2 linked regions of the Arabidopsis thaliana genome follow. The protein of the gene in region 1 interacts with the protein of each later gene in a biochemical or structural test. Each region holds a gene or a part of one and is shown on either strand. Other genes may lie near its edges.

Region 1 (5,943 bases):
TTAACCAAAAATAAGAAAGAATAATGATGTATCACAAACAACACACTTATATGAGGAAAATTATAATCCTACCTCACTTGTTTTTTTCCTCCAAAGATTTTCGTTACTCAATAATACAAAGGGTTCAAGCTAACTAGATAAACAAGAAAATGATAGAATCAAAGTGGTAAGGAACAACTCTTCTTAAAATGTCCATATGTAAACATTCTATTTACAAATATTTACAATGTGAATATGTGAATGATATGGATAATTTTGTACATATGTCCATATGTACATTAATTATCATTTTGTACATTAATTATCATTAATTATCATTTTTACTATCATTAAATTGTCCATATGTCCATATTTACAAATAATTTTGTACATTGATAATGATAATTAATGTACAAAATTAATTATCTCAATTCCTTCTTAAATTGTCCATATGTCCATATTTACAAATAATTTTGTACATTAATTATCATTTTTATTATCATTATCAATGTTTGTGTAAAAATATTGTATCATTCAACTCTTCTTAAAACATTCACATTATAAACGATATGTAAGCTCGACTCAAGAAATGAGCCACATATGTAATATTAACCAATTACAACAACAAAAGAACTATATAATCATCTCTCCAGAAATATAACACAAACACCATTTCCAGAATTAATCATCTCTACAATATCCTGAAGGTAAAAAGAGTAAAGAGTTATAAAAGAACCGACTCGACAAGAAAAAGCAAAAAATGGAGTAAAAACCCGGACCCCGACCAAACAGCTTTAATCATGACCCTCCATTTGTCTTCAAGATCCCATGCATGCACGAGAAGTGGCACACTCGGGTACGCTGCCATTTTTTCCTTTTGCCCTCTTTCTTATTTGGTACATAATAATATTTATATTGTTTCTTTTTGTCTCTGTTTTTCATTTAACAGTTTGAGAAGTTGGTGAAGCGACCACCACATTCGCCGACGGAGAGTTATTGTTTATGTTCCTTTGCGACTTGTTTTGTCTCTTCGTAGCTGCTGACGACGGTGGGGCCTCCGGCTTTTGTCCGCTCGGTTGTCTTACTTTAACCCCTCGTATCAACTGTCATAATATTATTCTCAATTAATTATGACAAGATAAATACCAACAAAAGTAATGATGAGAGTTAAATACTAATGAAAAGTATAGAAAAATATTGTGATGCTTCTCTTACATATTTGCCACATTTGACGTCGGAGTATATGACTATGAAATCACCTTCTTGGAGCCCATTGGTTTTCACAAAATCGCCTGTAAACGTAATTTCAAGGAAAATTAGATATGTATGCGTCCACAACAATAATTACAAGAGAACAAACAAACCAAAAGAAAGGAAAATTATTAACGGGTACATTTTCAAAAACGTACCGGTGTTCTCGAGGAGATACATCCTGCTTTTGTTGTTAGGCCAAAACCTGCAAAACCAATTTAAGAAGACAATTAAATAACCGAAAAAACATTTTGGTCGAGTTCCAATTTTTGACAAAATACACGAATTGTTTTTATAAAAAGAATCAATGTTAACATGTTAGCATCATAATCAGTTACCTGTAGCGCATGTTCCAAACACGAGAGGTTCCGATGTCTTCCATGGCCAGAGAGATGCCGTCTCTTGCCTCTAGCTCCGGCAAGTGTGTCTCAGCTTCTTTCTAAAAAAAATAAAAATTCAGTAAAATATAACTTAACCAATAAGAGTAAAAATAAAATAAAAACTTGACAATATTTTTACACAAACATTGAACCTTTTTTAGAAAATGGAAAGCAAAGGCTACAAGAAATTAGAAGAAAAATTACTTTTGGCAAAACGATCCTTCCGAGGTTACCCACGTCGCTTTGCTTCAAGACTTTCTGCAAGAGAAACCGCAAATTCTTTTCTGGTTTCCATCCCTAAAATCAAACCAAAAAGATCAAAATCATTTCATTTCCATTGCAAATGTATAATCTTCCGATTCACATTTTATCAAAAAAAACACATGTAAAATCTTTAGCTTCTTCATCAAACCAAACGAGTGGTGCAATTACACAAACTATTCGAGTATTGCTAAATTAAAGAATAAACAATGAGAAAGATGATTGTGCATGTCTACCTGCCGGCGATCTGGTACCACCTGCTGACGTGGCATAGCAGAAGCTGAGCCAGCTCGGTCCATGGTAGGTAACTGAGTCTCCATCACTGGCGGTAATTGAGGCGGCACTGCCGGGACATTAGGCCAATACATCCAGGTCCCTCCCGTGGCGGTTGTGGCCACGGGGTTAAGTTGTGGAGCCACCGCGGCACAGGTTTCTCCGATTTGGGTTTGGTTCTGCTGATTATTGTTGTTGTTGTTGTTGTTGTTGTTATGTCTGTGGTGATGAGACAAGAACCTCCTCTGTCTCGCCATCCGTTTCTTTCTTGCCTCTTTAGTTGCTGAGGAACACAAACGGAGTAATCTCTGATCTCTCATTTGTCCTGCAGGAACATAAGGATATTGGTACGGATTCATGTTGTATCCATTGAAACCTGTTGGATCTCCAAATTGATTATACTGCGAGGTTGGCGGCATGGGGAATTGTTGATGTGGCATGGGACCAGACTGTGGTGGTGGTGGCCATGACGGTGGAGATTCAAGTAAAGGAAGGAACTCTGGCTGTGGCGGATAGTTTGGAGCAGGCATGTATCCAAAACCCGGGTCCGAGACAAAAGCTTGTTGTTGTGGTGGTGGAGGAACCCATGTTGAAGGTGAGAAACAGGTTTGGTCGGACGGTGGGATTAGGTTGTTGTTATTAGGGTTAGGGTTTTGAAATGGATCTTGTTGGAATGATTGTTGATAAGAGAGGTTGGTGGTGGTGGTGGTGGTGCGTCTTCTTTGTAAGTGATTAGTTTGGACCCATTCAAGAATCAGCTTTAAAAGCTGCTTCATCGCTTCTTTACCACCGCCTAGTCTTCTTGCCGCTGATTCAATCGTAGCTTTCTTTATCTTTACTTTCCTCAAATCCTCAGCCGACACAGTCTCCTTGTTGTTCTTTAGCCACTCCAAAAACACAGCAGCGAGATCATCGTCCTGTTCCAAGGAAGAATTCATCATTTGCATGTCTCCACCACTGTTATTCTCCATCATCGGAACAACGACCTGGTCTTCTTGTCTCTCAAGGGTTTGGTCCATCAAGTTAGGGTTTTGCGTGTCGTCGTCTTGGCTAAATATAGCTGAGGTGTCAAAGAACTCGTTGCTATCAAGTAGATCCATGTACCCGAAAGTCTCCATCATATCAATGCAATCACCACCGCCTTCGCCGCAACCAAAACCTTGACTGCTGTCTAATGGAATCTCCATGGAAGCTGTGGATTGCAATGCACCAGAAGAGTCGTCACAGTTTCCTGATGCGTATTGGTTTTGGTTTGGAGTCGGATCTTCTCCATCTGATCTCAATATAGCCCAAGAAGCAGCTGAGGAAGTGGAGGAAGAAGCTGCCGAAGAAGAAGAGGCTGAGGAGACGATTGCGTTGACAGGAGCTGGAGATGTTGAAGACGATGATGAAGACGACATGCATGGGAAATCAGGAAGCGTTGGGAGATCTCCATAGAAGATTGAAGGGTCATGATGAACAATCAAATCATCATCTTGATGACCATGAACATGATTATTATCTCCTCCATGGTCATCTAACCAGATCTCTCTACCAACTTCATCAATTCCATCCATCAAAACAGTATCATCAGCGTCTCCACCGAGTATTCCACAATCCTCAGCCAGATCTCCGGCGTTGGCCGCCACATGCAAGCTTTTCATCGTTGAAGTGGAAATGAAACAATAAACTAGATTGGTGGAGAGAGAAAAGTTAGGGTTTTTAGTATTTTGTACGGACAGATAGGGTTTGTATGTGAGTAAGGAGGCAAGGAAAAAGAAAGTTAACCCAACTTGGCTATCATCGAATCTTTAAACAACATAAACTATCTGGCTATACATATACATATAAACCTTCTATACTACTATATAATCTTTTGAGATTCAAAAAGAACTCTTGATAAGGTTAAAATTATACAAAAGAGACGAAGGAGGATCCAAAGCATATGAAAAGATCCGACCTAAGCTAACTATTTTCTCCAACTTCAGATGAACAAAGACCAATTGTAAAGAGGTCTAAAATTTTCGAGTCTAGATCTGAAGTATACGAGATGTGTTTTGTTCACAAAGATTGGTCTTTGGTTCTAATAGAACAGAGAGAGATGTTTAGGTTTTACTCTTTTAGAGAGGAAGAACTGATGAACAGCTAATAAGTAATCTAAAACCGTTTGGGTTTACTCCAACAAGAAGACTCTCTCTTTCTTTCATTTTATAAATTATGGAGAGATGGTATATATATATTTATAAAACTATATAATAAACATGGTTAAATCCCTCAAAAAAGAAAATAAATTAAAATAAGAGAGCCCATGTGTTCCAGTTTGTTCCATGATTTATATGGAAGTTTTTTTTTTACTAATATAATTCAATTGTATTGTATAAAATATGTTAGATTAAACTGAACTCTTTTTTTTTTCTGGCGGTAAGTGTAATTTTGGGTTTAAGTTATTCTCTTTCTCTTTGCAGCATTCAATTACCTCAGCAGAAGGAAAAGGAGAGAGACAAGAGTTTTTAAGAAAAAGAGATGTAACAGTTTTTCAGCATTTGATTTTTCAAAGAAGACAAAAAGCAAACGTTTAAATTTGTGGCACTATTGACAAAATTGTTGAGCTCATAATACTTACAAACATTTAAAATTTTATTTAGATAGTAAATCTCCCCTCATCTTCTAAGAAATAAAAACAAAGTTCCTCGAGAGAAAGACATTGGTTTTGAAATTAAATGGTGCAAAAAGCCATATTTAAGTCGATAAAAAAACTTAAAAACAAAGAGAAAATAGAAGTCTCCTCGTGCCGCTAGTATCTAAAGGTTGGTACAGGAGTTTGTGCCCACGAGCCATACGTTCGAATTTGAGTGGTGAGACCAAGCGGTGGTTCTTAAACACTTCTTTTGTATAAAATATTATAAATTTTCCAATTATCAACTTTCTACTTCCTATGTGCAAATGGTCACTTTTACAAAAGTAAGTTTCCTCGGTCGGTTTTAAATTATCTGGCCAAAAAGATTCGAAAAACTTACACTTTCCTATTGAAGTGGAAGAGGCAGACACGGATTTTATTACCCTAGAACAATTACTTTAACATATTGTAGAACAATGTATGTTTTTGTGAGTTTTTTTTCTTCTTCTTTCTTTTCTTTTTTCTGCATGAGGAAAACAAAACAAAACTTTTAGTGTATTTGTAAAATATTTAGTTACAAACAGGGTTCGACCTTGCCTTCAAAATGAGATTGAGCAGATCATGTGATACCTGTTGTAGAAAGAAATAGGTACTTGTATTTATTACATTTTAACACATCAAAATTTTAGTGTATTTTTTTTTCTTGGGAAAATTCCTATTTTCCCGATTACATTTTAACACATCAAAATAGGTACTGTGTTTTATAAATCTGAACAAACAATTAGTAATGTTCATACTTTAACATTTAAAAAATTCAAATTATCTACCTCAACTCTTACTTTTGTACATAATTATGAGTCAACGTTAGTTATGGTAATTAACAGTAACGGTTGTTGAATCAGCTAACACTTGTACGTCGAGATGGCATGTTCTTCAAACCAAATGACGTTGTTTTACGTTTTGAGATTCAAAAGTTTTAAAGGTTACCATTACCATCATGCACGAACATCATCAATATATAAATAATAATTTATAGATATATACACATACATAAATTGGAATTAAAATTAATCATATAACGTCGGTTAGGATTTCCCCAATTCTAAATGACATTGTTTGATTAATTTAATTCCAATTTGTTGCTATATATCTATAAATTATTATTTATGTCTCGATAATGTTTGTGGATACGATGGTGATGAA
Region 2 (4,445 bases), on another chromosome or scaffold:
TGATTGATTACTAATACAGAGCTTGTTAATGTACCTGTGAGAGACTTGTAAAGACAGATTGATCATAATGTTTAACCTTGATATTGCATCTAACAATAACATTCACTTTTTTTTATCTGCAGATTGGTCAACAAAAACCCTTACCCTACTTCAGACTTCAAAAAGACAGATGTCCCAACAGGCAATGTCTCTATCAAGGAGGAATTTCCAACTGCTTAGCAGAAGATCAAACCTCCACATTAAGCTTATAAGCAAACTAAGTAAAACGTTTTGTCAATATAGTAATTAATATGATAATCTATCATGTACGCTGCTGTGTGTAATGTGTTGTATGATAGTGTCTGTATAGGTTTGCTAGACAAACCGAAGATTGTTTCCATGTCTGGGAGTGGTCAGATATGTTTGCCATTTTACAATTCTACTGAAGAAACTATTGTAGTTAGTAACACTGTCCTAGAGTCTATCTAACTAATGACTCTTTGATGTTATGTTATTGAACTTGTCATCTCTTCAAGATACAATTGTGTGTAAAGTAAAGAAGTCTGTGTTGTTATTATAAGCTTTCATACAAAAGACATTGAATCTATATGTAAAATGGGATTTATAATTGTGAATGATGAACAACAATTCGGAGATGTTTCAAGGAAAGACAATGGGAGTGTGCCATAACTGATTGAAATTTAAACGTACATATATTCACCTCCGCGGACAGCATTCTCTGCGCCCTTCCTCTCTTCTTCGGCCTCTTTCTCTCTCTCTTTCCAGTTTTCGTATTTCTGATCGTCTGTTGGTAATTCATGGCGGCATATAGGGCAAGAGTTATGCTCGTCCTGCCATAAAACAATATGAGCATAAGCTTTATGTTCTTACTTACTAGTAAGCTTGAAAGAATGGGATTTTTTTTTTTATACCAGCCAAGGCTTTAGGCAAGGAGGGTGAAATGTGTGCTTGCATGGCAATTCCTGCATCTTGTCGCCAATAACTAGATTCTCCTTGCAGATGCAACATTCTGCCTCTGCTCCAAACTTTTTAAGCAATTCCTCGGTGAAAATAATGACTGGGAGTTTCTCTACAACTTCTTTACTTGCCGGTGGAGCTCTTGGTGGTCCACCATCATCTAGTATCTGCATAGAACACATCATATATCACTTTTCAATCATGAAGCTAAGAAAAAGACGCTACCAATACAATATTAGAGGTTGAGGTTAAACACTCTTGATACAGATGAGTGAGACAACCAAGTGGAGAAACTCAATATGCAAAAAACAACATATGAGTAGAATGCGGATGATTAAGAATTGCTTTCATCTCTATCTTTAGGTGAAGAAACTTGTGATATCAGCTATGTGTGATAGTACATAATCTAAAACTAGTAAGGAAGAAAAGAGAAGGCATTACATCTGGAATGATCATGTCAAGACCATTGATAAGTTCTTGCATCAAGTTAGCAGTTTCCCCAATAGTGTTTTCAGTAGGACCATTAGAGGATTCACCACCAACGATAGAAGCGAAAGCAGACATGAGATTCTGCTGTACTAGCCACTGAGGCTGTGGCGGCTCACGATCAACCGTAAGATGTCCCTCAAAAAGATAACCTGCAAAAAATTCACAAGAGAAATAAAAATCATCTCCAGATAAATTTCACTTAAAACCATCAAAAGCCAAACTAAATGTTTCACAAACCTTGTGAGCTCTCTGTTGGCTGATTATCTACTTCGCTTAACTGCTCCTTAGCTTGAGCAACGCAAGATTTCAAATGTTTCTTCTCAGAAGCATCAGAGACAAGTCGCTCAGCCTCTTCGAAAAGACTCAGTCCAGCAACCCAAAATCCAGTAGCTGTATATCTTGTCTTAAGAACCGTAGCGACACGAGATACAACTATATAGAACTGCAATGGCAATCAAATCAATACTATGTCACAGAGGGTAACTAAACAAAAACAGATCGGATTAAATGAAATTTTTGACATGAACATGAACTTTCTCCACAATTGAAATAGAAAAACAATAAAAGAAAGATATTTGATTCCTGATTCAATCCTCAAAAGTTAAACCCATCATCAGACATAAGCAATGAGTAAACGTCAAGGCAGGCATAAACCCTAACAATTCCGAATAATTTTGAATCTATTGATCCGAAAATCTAAGAATAAAAACCAACCTGTTTGCGGAGAGAAGGAGAGGAAGAAGAGTAGTGATCACGGAGAAGATTATGAATAGAACAAACGGATGCTTCGAATCTCAGCTTTTTGTTCAGCTGTTTCTGAAGATCATCAAGCTCAAGCTTCAAGCTTTCCTCGGAAGGAGACGGTGAAGACGATGCATCCATTCAGAAATTTATTTCTTAGAGTTAAGGAGAATACTCAGGGGTTTCGAATGATTTTGGGGATTTTGTAAGAATGATGCAAAAGAAGAACCAATCTCTTGTCTTCTGGGATTTTTGTAGGAGACGAGTTTTCTTGATCAGGAGGAAAGGACGAAGTCGGTCGGTTAATATAGTTCAGTTCGGTTTGGTTCGGTTCAAGACCAAAAGAACAATTGTTAATTACCAATTGTTCGGTTTGGTTTGAGACCAATTTTTTGTTGGTAAATACTAAATCGTATGCGGCTATATTAGACCAAACCGTATACATTATTTGTTTTTTGTAGTATGATTGTAACTGTAGATAAACATAGTGTATATTGGACTTTCTGAGCCTTCCACGCTTTAATTTGAGATGTTGAACGCAATGCCTGTGGACGTTAATATCATTAGTCTATTAATTTTGAACTAAGAATAATCTTAACACAAAAAAGAAGTCCATGGATTTACTAAATCAACCTTCAAGGTGACCACATGAACCTGACAGAGTAAAAGGTTTTGATCCTATCCCATTTTAAAAGTCAAGTCATAATCATATTCCAAAACAAAATAAAAAAAACAAGACAAGTATTTCTTCAACTCATAAACTCATACAGAAGCAGTAGAATAGCTCCAAACTCCATACCAAGGTCACTTCACCTTCTAATTTCTCAAGTCTTCCTGCGACTAACACGAGCAACAAACCCTGTTTTGATCGGAGCCACAGATCGTTGAGATCCACACTGCAAAAACCATGTAGCCCACTCGTTAATCACATTAGCAAATTCAAACACACAAAATACTTTATTACTTTGTTGCGCAGAAAGTAAAACTGTAAAACAGAAACAAAGGAATGCATATCAAGATCAGGACTAATTAGATTAACTTATACCTTTTCACATCTCAGAAAGAAGAGACGGTTCTCCTTGGAGAGAATGGTGTCTGGGCTCTTGCAACCAAGGCAAATGACGTAGTCAGCTGAGAAATAATAAAACAAGAGGTTAACAACTCCAAACTGATATACTTTTATGGCAACTTAAATTTTGAGACTAAGAAGAAAGTTACTTACTGATATATCGCCGCAAAATTCCTTCAAAATTCTTAGGTGCAAACCTTCCCTTAACAACCAACCTTTGCTGCCCATCAAGCGAACCACTAGTACCCAACTCAGCAAGCAAGTATTGCATAACATGATCTGGTTGACGATGCATCCTGATTTTTTATATGCAGATAAGACATGTCATCGAAAAGTCATCAAAATTAAATGGTAATATTACTTATGGTTACACAGAAAAAGTTTGAAGAGGAAGATAAAGAGTTAGCTCATACGTCTTGCAAAGGTCCATGAAGTTGACAAAGACAGTCTTCTTTGTCCCCTCACGAAGAACTTGAGGAGGCCTCATAACTGTACGACGCCTATCTCCAGCAAGCTCCGGATTATTTTCACGGAGAATGTTAAAGACTCTACCAAGAAGCTGCATATATAACTCCCGTCAGCAAAAAAACAAGGGAGCAAGATATTTATGAAGGATTAAAACAAAAGAAATCATCGAAAATATAGTCACCTCGTCATATATGTAATCCCTCTCACTTCCCTCCCAGGGGTAACGTTGCTGTAGAACTATTCCTTCTTCCCCCTCTTGCTCGTCATTAGCAATCTCTGCAATATATTCTCAGTAAGATTCAAACAGGATAAAAACCCCGCCAAGAGAAAAGGTATATTAGCAAACAAAAAAAAAGGATATTAAAAGTACCATCCAAATCTTCCCCAGCATCAACACTTTCGTTGTTCAATAAGCTTGATTCAGTCTAAATATCAAACAAGAACAAATGTGAGTCACAGAATCATCAAACACACAAGTTTAATGACATAAAAAAAATACTAGGCACAAAACGTAAAACAATACTCACTGGCTTCTTCTTCTTTTTCTTCATTCCAGTAAATGAACTCTCAAGACCATCATTAACTGCAAAAACAAGGAATTAGACAAAGTAACACAAAAGACCATTGAAACAAAAAAAATGTTTCACATCACATTGACTCTTCATCATACATACCAGGCAATGAATCAGATTTCTCAGTCTGTGAAGACTCTGCTAAGTCC

What was found. The genes of interacting proteins can lie anywhere in the genome.
Region 2: the proteins of ABI3 (region 1) and AIP2 form a complex in vitro, tested with the Arabidopsis thaliana proteins (2 studies listed by BioGRID, with this or other methods).

The regions. Positions count from the first base shown.
Region 1 is NC_003074.8:8,995,755-9,001,697, reverse strand, and holds ABI3 (AP2/B3-like transcriptional factor family protein), read right to left. Parts: upstream 4,329-5,943; 5' UTR 3,788-4,328; coding exon 2,108-3,787; intron 1,908-2,107; coding exon 1,815-1,907; intron 1,670-1,814; coding exon 1,569-1,669; intron 1,436-1,568; coding exon 1,389-1,435; intron 1,272-1,388; coding exon 1,195-1,271; intron 1,083-1,194; coding exon 918-1,082; 3' UTR 513-917; downstream 1-512. UniProt on the Arabidopsis thaliana protein: Participates in abscisic acid-regulated gene expression during seed development. Regulates the transcription of SGR1 and SGR2 that are involved in leaf and embryo degreening.
Region 2 is NC_003076.8:7,091,983-7,096,427, forward strand, and holds AIP2 (RING/U-box superfamily protein), read right to left. Parts: upstream 2,522-4,445; 5' UTR 2,329-2,521; coding exon 2,161-2,328; intron 1,889-2,160; coding exon 1,684-1,888; intron 1,596-1,683; coding exon 1,399-1,595; intron 1,125-1,398; coding exon 912-1,124; intron 831-911; coding exon 681-830; 3' UTR 530-680; downstream 1-529. Other genes in the region: JAZ12 (jasmonate-zim-domain protein 12), read left to right, coding at 123-219; EIF2 BETA (eukaryotic translation initiation factor 2 beta subunit), read right to left, coding at 3,012-3,083, 3,233-3,318, 3,410-3,552, 3,670-3,815, 3,906-4,000, 4,095-4,149, 4,252-4,307, 4,399-4,445. UniProt on the Arabidopsis thaliana protein: E3 ubiquitin-protein ligase that acts as a negative regulator of abscisic acid (ABA) signaling. Mediates ubiquitination and subsequent proteasomal degradation of the transcription factor ABI3.